Xenopus tropicalis: one gene and its partner. The protein of the gene in region 1 interacts with the protein of each later gene in a biochemical or structural test. Links are inferred from orthologs where the notes say so. Each region holds a gene or a part of one and is shown on either strand. Other genes may lie near its edges. The genes, in order: arhgef12 and igf1r.

Evidence for each region.
Region 2: the proteins of arhgef12 (region 1) and igf1r form a complex in vitro, tested with the Homo sapiens proteins (2 studies listed by BioGRID and IntAct, with this or other methods). The link is inferred for Xenopus tropicalis from reciprocal best matches to the Homo sapiens genes ARHGEF12 and IGF1R.

The regions. Positions count from the first base shown.
Region 1 is NC_030683.2:78,844,713-78,848,542, reverse strand, and holds part of arhgef12 (rho guanine nucleotide exchange factor 12), read left to right. Parts: intron 1-1,998; coding exon 1,999-2,113; intron 2,114-2,415; coding exon 2,416-2,521; intron 2,522-3,778; coding exon 3,779-3,830. UniProt on the Homo sapiens protein: May play a role in the regulation of RhoA GTPase by guanine nucleotide-binding alpha-12 (GNA12) and alpha-13 (GNA13). Acts as guanine nucleotide exchange factor (GEF) for RhoA GTPase and may act as GTPase-activating protein (GAP) for GNA12 and GNA13.
Region 2 is NC_030679.2:114,864,949-114,868,778, reverse strand, and holds part of igf1r (insulin-like growth factor 1 receptor), read left to right. Parts: coding exon 1-26; intron 27-934; coding exon 935-1,173; intron 1,174-1,895; coding exon 1,896-2,063; intron 2,064-2,272; coding exon 2,273-2,477; intron 2,478-3,830. UniProt on the Homo sapiens protein: Receptor tyrosine kinase which mediates actions of insulin-like growth factor 1 (IGF1). Binds IGF1 with high affinity and IGF2 and insulin (INS) with a lower affinity. The activated IGF1R is involved in cell growth and survival control.

The DNA of each region.
Region 1 (3,830 bases):
ATATATAGTGGGGACAGCCAGGAAGAACTTCACCTCGTTATCGCAACTGTAAGTATGTCTGCGATCTCTTTTTCTCCCCCCAGTAATCTCTAGTTGTGTTCCCTCACTTGCGATCCTGCCTCCTGTCCTATCTCTCCCTTCGTTCCCAGTTCCGCCTGCTCCCTCACTTGCCATCAATCGTGCCTCCTGTCAAATTCAGCAGTCAGCAGTCGGGGCTGGAAAGAGTCACGGAGAGATGTTGCGGCTATAACTCACTGCTGGATTTGACAGGAGGCACGAACGATGGCAAGTGAGGGAGCAGGCAGAGCTGGACACGAAGGGAGAGATAGGACAGGAGGCAGGATTGCTAGTGAGGGAGCAGGAAGGGCTCGGAACAGAGGGAGAGCTATGACAGGAGGCAGGGTCACAAGAGAGGGAACTGGAGGAGTTAGGAAGGGGGGGGGGGAGAGAAAAGGTTGTGCTGCTATAACTGACTGCTGGATTTGACTGGAGGCACAATCGCAAATCAGGGAGCAGGGGGGCTAGGAAGGAGGGTGAGAAAAGATCCTGATCAGTCCTGTGAACCTCCTGTAAAATCCAGCTGTTAATTATACCAGCACAATCTTTTGAGTTCCAGCTCCCCTCCACTGAATATTTTTTATCTGTTCCCAGCACAATACTTTTCTGGTAAGGCATCCTAGTGATCCCTTCTCCCCAGCCCATGCCACTGCTGTGCCAATTTTTTCATATTTCATATATTTCACATTTTCTGTTAACCATTACCTTTTTTCCAATCTTGCTGTACCAGAAATATGTTTCCAAAAAGTTCCACATCTTACATTCTTTTATTCCTTGTTCCTCTGTGCCCTTATCCTGTCCACAATCTCCTCTACCTGTTTGCTCCTGCCATTCTGTCCTATATTTATCTTTGCTGCTTCTGTGTGCCATGCTGCCTCCCATCTGTATCCTCACTACTCCAGTGTGCCATACTGCCTCCCATCTGTACCCTCAGAGCTCCAGTGTGCCATACTGCTTCCCATCTGTATCCTCAGAGCTCCAGTGTGCCATACTGCTTCCCATCAGCTACACCTCAGATTTTCAAAAACTGGCAGAAAACATGCAGTGCCAGATTTCACACTAATATTTTGATATTATATAACATTTTAATATAGTGTATATTATTATTATTAAAAATTGTGTTTGCGCTACTGTTCACGTATTGTGTTGCTCACGAACAAGTTTTGCAGCTGAATGTTACTCACGGGGTAAAAAAGGTTGGGGATCCCTGTATTACCTATATTGTAAAAGTGCCACTCACCAAGGTGATTAAAATACCTTTGTTTCAAGAGCAGTTATAAATGATATGCAATGTAAATAACCTATTAAATATAACCATGACAGACTACAGCTGGTCCAGGGTAATATGTATAGATATGTGTGTAACATTTAGTAGTATATGAGGTGTGTGTGTGTGTGTGTGTGTAAGAGTGTTAATATATGTCTCCCAAAGGGGAAGACAAATATATCTCCATGTTCCAGAATATATGCCTGCCTTCATTGTTGCACCCGCCATCATGTATCTGTAAAAAGCAATAGTATATGTTAAATTAGTTTGTCATTATTACAAATTTACTTTCCAAAATTTGTGAATGATCAGGGCAGGTTCATACACTATGTGACCGATACTATTTAATAGAAACTATCTGTTGGTTAAGTATTCATTCTGGGGGTATAGTGTTTCTTATAGTTAAATGCACACCTACCATGGGATAGCTGAATAAGTGTGCTTGAGGACCTAAATAGATTTCATAGATCTGCATTCTTTGTATACTTCTTGTAGATTGTAAGCTCTTTTGGGCAGGGCCCTCTTCACCTTTTGTATCGGTTATTGATTGCTTTATATGGTACTCTGTATGTCCAATGTATGAAACCCACTTATTGTACAGCACTGCGGAATATGCTGGCGCTTTATAAATAAATGTTAATAATAATATACTGAAAAATGCTGTTTATTCACAGCAATACCATACAATATGTGATTCTAACCTATATGAAGCATCTTGGTGTGAAAGTTAAAGAGCCACGAAGTCTTGAACAGAAACGTGGTCGAATTGGATTCCTCCCAAAAATTAAGGTAAATTAAGATATCTTAATCTTCCAGTGTTTTATATTGTCCGCATTAGTATCCATTAATGTCCAGTAGTACCGTAAGCTTTATATGCAGTTAAAAAAAATCGATAAAAAAATCCATATATACAGATATGTATATGCATATACAGATATCTAAGTAAATTTATATCTGTGTATGTACATATGTGTGTATATATCTATATACATATATACAGCTATAAATCACATTTGCACTTTGATGAAAACACTAAAAATATTGTCTACTTATCTGAAATAAGCAAACCTTCTGTTTTGCTCTTGTTTTAGCAAAGTATGAAGAAAGATCGGGAGGGTGAGGAAAAGGTGAAGCGAAGAGGGTTTCCCAGCATCCTTGCACCTCAGAGGAAGCCTAGCCGACAAGATAGTAATGCAAGTACGTATAAATCCTACCAGTCACATTGCAAATTGTTGTCACTAATTATCTAAATATTCCAACCCAGGACCTCAGACTATATGGCTAATTTGGTATTCTCAATAACTGAATATTTGTCTGCATGCTAATGAGGATGATGAGTGTGTATAAGAGAGTGAGCATGTCAAAAACTCCTCCAGGAACAGTACCAATCGTTATATGAAGAAGCAGCATATAAATAACTGGAATTCAGAATAGAGTGATTAAATAATAATGGTTAGCTCTAAAATATAGTTGAGAAACATCTATAATATCTCAGCCTATGTTGGCAGGTATATCACTGATAACCTGTGATGCAGATACTGCTGTTTAAAGGGATACAATCTTTCATTTAAAATGTAATGTTAAGTAAATCCAGCTAAAAAATGAAAAGGTAGTTTCTCAGTTTATATATGAAAAATGTACATCCTTGCAGTTTCTTTCCAGTCAATGTTTCACTGCACAGAATGAGTCTGAAGTGTATATATGTGCCTATTTGCCATGAAAACTCCCTCTGTAAGGCACTTACAGAATTATTCTATGAGTTTATCAGGAGAATACTGCATATCTTTACTTGGGCCTGAATATCCAGTTGGACATTTACCCTTATATGAGCATATGTGCTGGTCATAGTAAGGTTGCAGTAACAACCAAATAAGTGCATATTAAAACTCCATACACAAAGCAGTTGTGTCCAGATTGCTACTTACTAATCTGAATTAGTAAGGCACAGTATTCAGAGGCACCAGAAGAGCCATGGACTTTACATCTGCACTTACAGCCTCCAAGCTTCTAATAGCCAAAATGTTTTAGTGGAACTGGCAAGTAATTAACAGGTATATGTTTAGCAGCTATAGAGTCCTATATTTGATTTCCGCATGAGCAGTACAGGTGTATATTCAAGGAGGTTTTACTTTCTCACCATACATGTTTCAGCTTGTTACTTCTGTTTCCTCATACAATTAGTTCCAAATAAATTAGACCACACTGCGTGTGAATAGGTTGTAAACTTCACTGGGGCAGGGAATTATGTAAATGGTGTATAACCTCTTTAAAACTCTGCAGAATATGTTGGCGTTATGTAAATAATCCATTTTGCCATATAACTTGTACCATTGGCATGAATATTTGTGTCCCCCCCCAACTAGTTCGCCAAATTAATATGGTTCCCGTTAGGGAAAAAATGATAGAAAAACTGGTTTATTAACACTTTTACGATGTCTTGATTTTTATGTTCAGTTGGCAGGGCTATGGAACTTCAGCGGCCACGCCACCCCAAGCACTTATCCAC
Region 2 (3,830 bases), on another chromosome or scaffold:
AGCTTCACTGTCTACTACAAAGAGGCGTGAGTCCCACATTACAACCATATTCCTGTGGCGCTTGCACTTACCCAAGGATGAACTGTCAGTTAAAGGTTGATCTATAATGGTTTCCTCTAATAAAGGTGTAAAAAGCTAAGCATAGATTAAATTATAGTTAGTGCTGCTTCTTGGATATATATCAGCAATGCAGCATTCTTTACCATCTATCTGTTCTAGGTGTTCTGTCCTTTTATATAAAGGGCAGAGCAAAATGAGGTTTAAGTGATAATGCTCTGCAATATATTAGGCTAGGAATGTTGCTTCTTATGTTTTGTGCCAGCCTACAAAGCCATCACATCCCTTTAACACTGAATATATTTGTGGCTTGGAGAATGCTTTACATCTTTCTGCTGATTCACATGTTCTGGTTGTAATGTTAATCACCAGATCTAGGGCCCAGCTTATACACTATAAATATATATAAAGTGTGATTAGAATATTAGTCCATATTCACATTGCATAGTATCCTTAGACACAAGCGACTTCTGTATCAGAACAGGTTAATGATAAGACAGTAAATGTTTTGTCTAGGGGTACTAATGCTGCAGAATGGTTAGATGTCTAGTATTATCTAAATGGTGAAAAGATCTAGCAAGTAATTATTTTATTTATATATAACACATTTCCACAATTCTTTTCAAAAATTGTCTGTCACTCTAATCAGCCCCTTCCCCAGTGGAGTTAACAGTTAAATGTCCCTATGACATTCACATACAATATGGGCATTTTAATAAGTAGCCAGTTAACTGCAGTTTTCTTTGTTTCTCAGCTAAGCTTATATCTCTTGTAAGCCAAACAAAAACAACACAGCTTCCAAATTTCCAATTTTGCTGCATTTAGCTTTTAGGCTTTCCTCTGATTATGTCTCTGCTTCCTTTTTCTTACACTTCAGACTCTTCCATAATGTAACAGAGTATGATGGTCAGGATGCATGTGGATCCAACAGCTGGAATATGGTTGATGTGGACCTCCCAGCCAGCAAGGAAAGTGACCCTGGAATCCTCCTGCAGGGACTGAAGCCTTGGACACAATATGCAATCTATGTGAAGGCTATTACCTTGACCATGCTGGAGAGCCGTCATATTCATGGTGCCAAAAGCAAGATCATATATATACGAACAGATGCAGCAGGTATGTGTTCAGCCAAAGCAAATACATACCTATAATATTTATATGATGTTAAAGTGCTGGAATAAGAAGATAATGTTTTAGTTTAAAGGTTTTTTTTGCTTTCTGTCATTCTTGCAAATGCCTGGTTACCAAAACCAGTGACCCTACCAACAAGGCATTTGGTTGAATGCCAGAATAAAGCTTACCACCTAAATTGAAAGATAGCAGTAAGGTAAATCTTGTTTAGGAGGAATGCATGATTACACAAGTGCAGTATGTTACAGCTGATGGTAAAATTTAAAAGACTGAAAATACAGGGGAACACAGACTTTGTCAGCTCCCATAAGGCAATGAAAGGAACTTGTTAAAATTGATGGGAAATGGGTTCCAGAGGGATTGCCGAGCATCTCCAGGGTTTGCAGAACTGAAAAGACAATCACGCTGAGATGTATGTCACCCCTGTGTCTTTTTGCCTGGAGCATCTACACACCCTGCATGAGTCTGCAAACACAGTATGCACTCATACAGCTTGGGGATTCACCATCACAAGAAGGAAGCCACAGCCCATTGCCTGCCATGATTGTGACTTTTCTAGATTATAGCTTGACTGATGCAGAGTTTTCTGCCATGTTCATTTTGCAGTGCTTTGCTAATAGGGTATGTTATTCAGAGTCATATGTACAGCTTGTTCTAAGCATGAGGATGAATTCTAACATAATTGTTTTTTTTGTTTTTAATTCCAGTTCCTTCCATCCCCCAAGATGTGATCTCCGCATCCAACTCGTCTTCTCAGCTGGTGGTGAAGTGGAACTCACCCAGTCAACCAAATGGGAACCTCTCCTACTATATTGTGCGATGGCAGCAGCAGCCTCAGGACAGACACTTGTATCAGTACAACTATTGCTTCAGAGGTGCGGCGACTGTCACTGTAGCCTCCTGTTGTGTGTGGGAAGATTATTATAGTGGTGTGCAGTGCTCTGAGGGTTACATGTCCAGTATCTTCAAATGATTTCATGGCAAAGCAGCACTGGTGTTGCCTGTTTTTAAGCAAATACAGTACAGCTTTTCTATGCTGTCTTTAGGAAATGAAATGGTGTACATCATGTTATTTTGCTTTCAGATAAAGTACCCAATCGGAAATACGCCAATGGGACCATTGATACTGAAGGTGTGACAGAGCTGACAAAGCCAGAAGGCAACACAGGAGAAAAGGGCCATTGCTGTGCCTGTCCTAAAACCGAGGCAGAGAAAAAAGCAGAAAAAGATGAAGCTGAATACAGAAAGGTTTTTGAAAATTTCCTCCACAATTCCATTTTTGTGCCAAGGTAAGCAAGAGCGCCACAGCAATCACTATGTTACAATTTAACTGTGTGGGGTGTTTTGACCTCTATTGTTTCTTTTGTGAAGACTACCACCATCAAAACAATCAATGTGCCATAATCCATAAAGCACTCGCCATAAATTTTTAGCTCTATGATACTACAAAACAATGGCATAATGAAACGCTCAATGACTGTAGATACCAACTTACAATGTCTGTAATGAGTTGTGTGAATTACCTTGTTGTATTAAATTGATAAGACTCTGGTAAAGAACTTTGTGGTTTAGTAGGAAAGAGTGTTGAACCTGTGAACCATGTTTATTGATCTAACCTGTGATTTAAGCCACGCCTTGGAGCTTGAAATGGATCAGCTGTACCTTTGGGTGATACAAGGGATGATGGATTATGTAAAGTGCAAATCAGTAAGCCTCTCACAAGACAGCCAGTTGCTAAAGTCTAGAATACAAGAACAAGGATTGGGTCCACCACGTGCAGCTAAGATTCTTTTTCATAATGGCAACATTACCCTTCTGTTACCATAGACAGCATGTGTTGGAGTGTGATCCAGCTAACCGGATCACTTCATTTGAACTCGCCAAACAGGATCACAGTTGCATTATAGAATGTAGTGTGTATGACCTTTAAATCTGTGCCCTAGAATGTCTTATGAACCAGCTGAAATCACCATGCAGGGAGTCATCAGTGAAGGTATCCTAGTTTAGCCTCTTTAAGCCAATAGCAGAAGACCTCTTTCCTGGACTGACACTTTTTACCCCATTGTAGGTATTTGACAATTGTTAAAGTGGTCTGTTGACATGTTAATTCTGCCCTTTAGAGTGGACAGCTCTATTTGTACAACCCCGTCTCCAAAGAGGTTGGGGGAATGTGACAAATGTTAAAAATAAAAAGAGAATGTGATGATTTGCAAACCATTTAAACCTTTTAAGTAATAACAATAGTTCAAATACAACATCAAAAATGAGAAGTTTTGTTTTCTAAAAAACATATGTACATTTTGATGATGATGATGATGATGATGCCAGCAACACGTTTCAAAAACGTTGGGACAGGGGCAACAAGTGACTGGAAAAGTCATGTGAAGATAAAAAGAGTAGATGAGTGCACCAGCTTATGTGTCAGGCCATGAGGAGGGGGCCTGCCACATCGCTTGTCAGCAACTTACAATGCCCCTTTGACATCCTTACCTCAGTGGTTTCACAACAATGCACACATCCAGTCATGTACTGAAAGATTAACACCTGCCTCAAAAAGAACCATAGTACTTTTGTGACCGGATCATACTTTCTTATCATCATGTGATTGGATATCTGTGACTGTACTACCCTCAAGGGTTTAA